2 linked regions of the Callithrix jacchus genome follow. The protein of the gene in region 1 interacts with the protein of each later gene in a pairwise test. Links are inferred from orthologs where the notes say so. Each region holds a gene or a part of one and is shown on either strand. Other genes may lie near its edges.

Region 1 (3,819 bases):
TATCAAGCAAATAGAGATGGGCCAAAAAAAAAAAAATGAGCTCCATCTGAGATAGTAAGATACCTTTATTCTCATACATTACCTGTGTTTTCATTACCAAAGTAGCTCGTGTTTTATATTATGAAATAGACCTTCTCGTAACAGTATCAAATGTTTTGCAGATAAGGAAATGCAGGTTTAAGTGACATATTGTTTTGTTTTTTTAACTTGGCAGTATTTGACTACAGTCATTCCTTATGAGAAAAAAAATGGACCGCCATCTGTTGAAGATCTTCAAATATTAACAAAAAGTGAGCAAAGACAAAATGAAACTATTACCTGATTTACTTTTGCTGATTGGTAAACACCTGACTTTAGCTGGCTGGTTTTGTTGTTAGTTTTTTGTCAATTTAGGATTGTAAATGATGCATATCATTGTTGATTTCTGTAAGAATGAAGCCAAAAATGGCTACTACTACTACTGGAGGTACAACAGTACCTCTAGTGTTGATTTGTATTTTTTCTGTTTTTCTTACCTTATGAAATATTTATGAGCTAAAATTTTGGGAAAAAGCATTATCTGAATCCTCATCCTCTCTTATATGCTTGAGAACATATCCATTTATCATAAATGTAATTCTCTATGGATCTTATATGACTGTCAATAACTGAATAGGAAAGATTTAGGGTAAACACTTATTTCTTATGAATGTAGAACCTGAGGTAGTAGTTGTAGGTAGAATACAAATTGACAGTAATGTTTTCAGAACATGCAACAGGGCGCCGTGGCTCAGGCCTGTAATTCCCAGCACTTTGGGAGGCTGAGGTGGGCAGATCGAGAGGTCGGGTTGGAGACCAGCCTGGCCAACATAGTGAAACCCCATCTCTACTAAAAATACAAAAATCAGCTGGGCATGGTGGCAGGTGTCTGTAGTCCCAGCAAATATTAGGTAAAGGCCTACTTTTTACCAGGCCATGATCTGGGAACTTGGGATACTTTAGTGAACAAAGCTGACAGACAATCCACCTACAAGGGGCTTGCAGTAAAAAAACAATTGTGAGATTTAAATATACGTTATATTGAATTTCTCTTATGATAGCCGTAAATGAGCCCTGAATTCTGAATTTTCGTTCTATCCCTGTTATTTTCAGGGATGTCCTTGGAAGTTATTTATTCTCTTTTGCTCACATTGAAAAACTAGGATAAAAAGTATTTGTTCTATTTACCTCACACTAAGTAGATTAATATGTACATGATTTGGGCTAAGTTACTATCAATTAGCCTCATTGTCATTGCTGTTAATATGGAGGGATTGAATTGCTGATCTTTTGAAAAAGCATCACATGGATGAGTGTTGATGATATTTATTTTGGAAATCCAAGGAACTTGGAGCTTTTATTCTTTCCTTTGGTGAATAATACGTTAAAAAGTTTTATATTTAAATATGGATAAATCAAGTAATGCCAGCCAGTCTGAAATAAAGAATCAAGAGATTAACTGGGTAGCCAGCCCTCTTATTTTCAGGAAGAACTCATGAAGTTATGTGCGTCCAAGATCCCACAGGGGATGGGTAATTACAGAGCTGGGTCTCCTAATTCCCAGGAAACTATACTTTTAATGATGCTGGTTTTTAGTATGTGGTTTTTATATAGAAGTTAGAAAAAATTTTAAACATGATTGGAAGCAGAAATACTGAACATGGTAGCCCTTTAAAGAAGGGAACATAAATAAATATTGCTCATAAGCCAGGAATTACTGGCAAGCCTCAGCTTCTCAGATCAAGAACAAATACTTTGTTGGTCAAACTAATGCCATCATAATTCCAACATCAAGTTGTCTTTGTAGGTTGACACAATTTGGAATCTTTGGACATATTTGGGTCCAAAGCTCCTTTTCTTTCCAAAAGAAGAGCCTTGTGGAGACAGTCACATTGTTTATGGATATATAGTCTTCCTCTTAAAAGCTGTTAGGGATTCTGGGTGCAATAATAATAGTAATAAAATTTTTAACAATATTAGTAGTGTTAGTTACAGTTAACACTTACATAGCATGTACTCTGGCCAGGCACTATAATACATGTGCCAGACCTTTATATCTGAATTAGTAGCTTAGTCCTCAGAACAAACCTTTGAGATTAAATGCAATTATTATTCTCATTTCACAGATGAAGAGCTTATGCAAAAGTGGTTAAGCAGCTTTTTCAGTGTCACACAGTGAGGAAGAGGCAGAGCCAGGTTTTAAACTTAGGAAGGCTGACTTGACAGTTATGTTATATTGCCTTGTCATATGGGTGGGGAGAAACAGTGAAATATTTCTACCAGGATGCTCTGGAGAAAATTTGAGTTGGCTGGCTGGGTGCAATGGCTCACACCTGTAATCCCAGCACTTTGGGAGGCCGAGGTGGGTGGATCACCTGAGGTCGGGAGTTCGAGACCAACCTGACCAACATGGAGGAAACCCCCATCTCTACTAAAAATACAAAATTATCTGGGGGTGGTGGCTCATGCCTATAATCCCAGCTACTCAGGAGGCTGGGACAGGAGAATCACTTGAACCCAGGAGCAGGAGGTTGTGGTAAGCTGAGATCATGCCATTGCATTCCAGCCTGGGTGACAAGAGTCAAACTCCATCTCAAAAAAAAAAAAAAAAAAAAAAAAATTTTGAGTTGACAATCTTTGTTAAAGTACAATATTTGTGAGTTTATCTCAACCTGAATGGTCTAGCTTAAAAAAGAAAAACATTATACTAGGTGGCTGTTTTTTCTCTTTTAGTTTTTACTTAGAAGATAAAAGTGTCCGTTTAGGATAAGGCTAATTCACCCAGGTTCCTCCATACTGCAGAGGAGGAGATAGCCAGGCAGATGCCACGTGCTGCTTCATGGAAGTCTGTTCTTCATTTGGGTCTTTTCTTTGAAAGTTTCCAAGGAGTTTGACAGATATGCCTGTTGGAGCATATAGCTAACTGTTCATTTCTCTAAGAGTTTCTCTAGCTTGCTTGTTTTATAGCAATGAGGTCCTCTTGTTGCACGGAGTTCATTGAGGTGCACATTACAGTAACCCACTTTCCAGTATTATTACAGAGCGAAGGCTCCATGTAAATAACCTGATTCCTCTTTTTTTGCCTCCACTGTTTGGAAATTTTAAATCAGGGAAATAACTCTCAGGTAAGTAGATATTCTTACCTAAAATAAATTCTTGTGAACATATTCCACTAAAATAAATGGTTGGGACTTTACTGTTGTATTCCCTTATCAGGAAAATCACCTATAATTAGTATAAGTCAGTTATATCCTATAATTAAGGAAGATTAAGGCCACAATGATTGAAATTAAATAATATTTTTGATCTGAATTTTTTGTTGTCTTTTTTCCCCCCCTTCTGTTTTGCAGTTCTTCGTGCCATGAAGGAGGACAGTGAAAAGGTTCCGAGCTTGTTAACTGATTATATTCTGAAAGGTGAATTTTACAATGGTATAGGTGTGATGGCTGGGAAGTTTGGATTAGTCAATAAATGCATTGTCTTGCTAATAGATTAGATAGTAACTTCCCAATGCACAACTTTCATTAATCTTATTATGCAGGATGAGGATTAGATACATGACTAACTTCTACCAACATGATATATTATGGTTTTAAAAAATTTAACTTTTGTTGGAGGTTCTGGGCTGGAAATAATCTCCACAGCTAAACTATAAACATTGAGGGAGGCAGTAGAAGAAAATTAGTGAGATGTTGCCATCATCATGTGGATATCAGATGCTGGCAGGTTGACACGGAAATTTGAGAAGGACGGTCTCTGTCTGTCATCTTGGGGACAGTGCAAAGGAAGGACAGATCGTTA
Region 2 (4,315 bases), on another chromosome or scaffold:
AGTGAGGGGAGTAGGAAATGGAGGGTTGTTGTTTAATAGAGACAGAGTTTTAGTTTGGCAAGATGAAAAGAGAGATTGGTTCTGGAGACTGGTTGAACAACAGTGTGGAATGTATCTGATACTACTGATGTTAAAAATGGTTAAGATGGGAAATTTTATTCTATGTATATTTCACTACAATTAAAACTATTTAAAAATACTGTTCTAGCAAAAACAAAGTTTTTTAAAATAGTTTCTCTTGATCTTTGGTATCCTGCAATGTCACCATTGCATAGATTTCTTTGTATTAATTCTGCTCAAGAATAAGTACTTTTTGAACCTGAAAATTCAAATACTCCACAATCTTGGAAAATTCTTAATGATTATTCTTTGAATACTGACTGCGTCCATTCTCTCTAGTCTCTTTTTTTGGCATTTCTATTAGATTTATGTTGAATTTTTTTCATTTATTTAGCTCCTACATTGCATTCTAGTAAATTTCCTCAAATTGAATATTGTAGTCCCAGCCAAATGTAGTTCTCAAAACACTGAATGGAAGATCTTTTTATAGAGCTCTTAAAATGATTAAGGCAATGTGTCAGCAAACGGTGCCAGAAGTAAAAAGTCAAGAAACAGGGAGACATAAGGCTTGTCTCTACAGCTCAGGAGACTGTGCCAAAGCCAAAATAACAATGTATTGCTGTGATGCCTACCTTGTACTCAATGAATATTAAAGTAGGATGCCGCTTTGTGTCAAGTGCTAGATTACGATGAGTGGTGTCACAAAGATCACTCTACACTCAGAGTTTGGCACTTCATACCATATGTTTTACCTTGAGCAAGACATGTATCTACAATCAGGCTTCAGTTCCTTTCTGTGGGTTGCTGCTGGCTCCAACAGGTAAGGTGAGCAGACGTGCTATGCCTAAGTATCAATAGGGTATTTTCTCAATTCTAAAATATTAAATGGTCACGCACTACAGATTTAATAATAGTTTGGGAGGAGGGGAGTGAGGAAAGAAACATTCCACTAGCGCTACTTTATAAGCTTTCCGATTTTGGAAATAAGAAAAATATGAAAAAGTCTGCTCTTAGAATTGAGGAACCACGGTGTCGCACTGACTTTCTCTGTTCGGTTCGCAAACAATCTTTTCTTGAACTTGAATGACTTCTCGGTCGCTCATGCCAACCTGTTTCCTGACTTCTCCATTCTGAGATTCACACTTCAATTCTCAGGCTTCCTGTGAGACCTAAGGAGCCCCTTCACTAGGGCGGCTTCGCTTCGCTTCTGTACTGTCATTGGCTGTTGCTCTTCCAGGGCCCCTCCCACAGCCACCTCAATCCTGATTGGATGTCAGTGTCCTTTTGTTATGGCGAAGGTGGATCCCGGAGCTTTGAGATTGGACTACTGGGGGGGCGGTGGCGGCTAATGCGCAGGCGTATATTTTCGAGTCAGGATTGGCGGGTGAGGGGCCGGGATGAGGCGGGACTCTTCTCTCGGCGCACGTTCTGTGACCGGAGTGGGCGGAGCTGCCGGTGTCAGTTGGTCCAAGTGTCCCCGCCCGAGGTGTCGGCTGCATCCCTCTCTCTCCCGGCCCCTCCAGCAGAAGGTGAGGACTGTCCTGGGCAGCGGAGGGCCTGGCCCCAGGCGACTAGAACTGCGGCCTCGGTACCGCTGAGGGCCTGGAGGGCGGGGTGGGTAGGACGCGGCCCTGCGCACCTGGGGCCCACGAGGAGCGGTCTCGGGCCTGGGCATTTGGTGGGCGGCGGAGGCCTGGCTTCCTGCAGAACCCTTGCGCATCCTCTTTTTCTCCTGTTTTCGTGGTCAGGCCCAGGCGTTCTTTAGGAGAGGGGCCTCCCGCTGTCCCTGACGCAGACATTCTGCTGCTTTCTCCCCGCAGCTCCCGCGTCGGGAGCCGCTTTGCAGCCTCCAGCTCTGGAATGGGACTGCGGGAGGGGCGTTTGGGTGGGATGGGACCTGGCACGCCTGGACGTAGCAGTGGCTGCTCTGCTAGAGCCTGAGAGATGGGAGAGGACAACGAGGTGGAGAGGGAGCCTCGTGAGTCATAGAATAAGGATTTGAACATCTTTCCAGGCTGCGAGAGCGGCACCTGGGTTTGTTTCTTCATCGACTTCTGCCCAGAGTCCCACTGAACAAGTTTTGGAAAGGTTTGGGCTTAAAGGCAGGGCTTCTGTTATATAATGTATCAACCTCAGACTATTGCGCAGCAATAAGGATGGATGCCATTCCAGGTGTTCCTAGCACGCTGTCTGTACCCAAGGACCCAAAGCTATGTCCATGTATTCTGGTACCTGTATCCCTCACCGATTAAAGTCAGCGTAGCTAGCTATTCCCTGAGAATATCTATTCCGTTTAAATCTTCATTTGGCCAAACAATTCCTTGATCTTTTGGAATTTGAAACGGAATTTAACCAGAACAAGTCAAAGCAGAACTTGAACGGATCTGAACAGACAAACTGAAGGGAATGGAATTTATCTTCAGTTGCTTAGTAAAGAGTCCAAAGGAGTTTGACATCAGTGGTTGCAAAATGTTTGGCAAACTTAAGATTAGGGCCATATTGAAGTTTCTTCCATTGCAGAATGGAAAAAGCATGGATTGTGAAGTTAGACCTGGGTTCAAATTCGTGGTAGAGACGTTGGCTGTGAAACCTCTGAAATGATAGCCTTTCTGAATGATACTTAGCCTTTCTGAAATTTAGTGTCCGTATCTGTAAATTGCAATTTCCTTCTGTTTATTTGATGAAGTAACATATGCAAAGCTTTTAGCACATTAAAGCACGAAGACATTATTTTAGCAGTCTTACTAGTTCTCTGGTATGACAGATGGTGAAATCAATTTTAGATGCAGAAAAGTTGAGTGGCTGAAGGTGGACGGATATTAGGAAAAAGTCTCAAAATCTCAAGTCTCTGATGTGACAGTAGCTGTGGTGGAATGGTGTAAAAACCCTTGGGCATTTGTCGTAGTCTTGGCCCTATTGCTAACTACTTCTGTGGTCTTCAGTAAGCCGTTGGCATCTTTGGCCGTGATTTATTTGTAAAATGAAGCAGCTGGACCAGATGGTTTTCTTAAAATTCTTTTTGTGACCCAAATTAGAGCTAAAAGGTAGAGAAGATAATAGTAGGGGCCGGGCGCGGTGGCTCACGCCTGTAATCCCAGCACTTTGGGAGGTCGAGATGGGTGGATCACGAGGTCAAGTGATCGAGACCATCCTGGTCAACATGGTGAAACCCCGTCTCTACTAAAAATACAAAAAATTAGCTGGGCATGGTGGCGCGCGCCTGTAATCCCAGCTACTCGGGAGGCTGAGGCAGGAGAATTGCCTGAACCCAGGAGGCGGAGGTTGCGGTGAGCCGAGATCCCGCCATTGTACTCCAGCCTGGGTGACAAGAGCGAAACTCCGTCTCAAAAAAAAAAAAAAAAAAAAAAAAGAAGATAATAGTAGGCATTTATTGCATACCTATTATGTACTGTTGCAAACACATTGTATCTATCAACTCAGTCTCACAACAAACCCGTAAGACATGTACGGTTATTATCCACATTTTACAAATGAGGAAACTAAGGCCAAGGTGTTAACCTTGCCTAAGGTTCCAGAGCTTATAAATTGCAGAGCTAGGATTTGAATCCAGGTACTGAGTCCATGTTGTTAATCATTGTGCCAAGCTGCCTCTTGAGGAGAATGGTATTGTGGATATTGTATACTATTAGAGGTACTATAAAAGAAGATGGGGCATGTTTTGTAAGATAATTGCTTTGGTTACAAATGTGTGTATGGCAAAATTATTTAATTAAGTGGATCTTGTCCTAATGCTTGCCACATTTCCTTGTTTGTATTCTCTCAATACTGTCTGTCTCTTGGACTTAGCAAAAAAATAATTCTAGATTCCCTTCTACTAACCAAGGCTAGATACCCAAATTTACTGTGGTTTTTGCGAAACCTTTAAAAGGTCTGACCTAGACATAAATCAGAGCTGAAGAATCTCAGTGAACCATATCTGTTTCTGGGCTAAGGTGGTTTAGGATAGGCAGAGCAGCCTCAGAACCCCAAATTCATTTCAGTGTTCCCACACTTGAGCAGACTTGGTCTGAATTTTCTCGTTTTTCATCAGATTTGCATTTATATGTAGGAGCAGAAGGAGTTGAAAGTGAAATCTAAGAGCATACTTGACATAGGGTTAGACTGATGTTATAGCAACTATAGGTAAAAAAGGATTTTATAGTTGAAAAAGTTGAAAAACTCAGTATTAAGAACCTATTATGATGTACTACTGTGTTAATGTAGGCGTTGTGCAGTTTGAGGATCAATACTATTT

The links.
Region 2: the proteins of FEZ2 (region 1) and SCOC interact in binary tests that used the Homo sapiens proteins (3 or more experiments, as listed by UniProt). The link is inferred for Callithrix jacchus from reciprocal best matches to the Homo sapiens genes FEZ2 and SCOC.

The regions. Positions count from the first base shown.
Region 1 is NC_133515.1:78,448,361-78,452,179, forward strand, and holds part of FEZ2 (fasciculation and elongation protein zeta-2), read left to right. Parts: intron 1-214; coding exon 215-290; intron 291-3,368; coding exon 3,369-3,434; intron 3,435-3,819. UniProt on the Homo sapiens protein: Involved in axonal outgrowth and fasciculation.
Region 2 is NC_133504.1:56,574,361-56,578,675, reverse strand, and holds the start of SCOC (short coiled-coil protein), read left to right. Parts: upstream 1-1,324; 5' UTR 1,325-1,330; coding exon 1,331-1,589; exon of another isoform or gene 1,590-1,648; intron 1,649-4,315. UniProt on the Homo sapiens protein: Positive regulator of amino acid starvation-induced autophagy.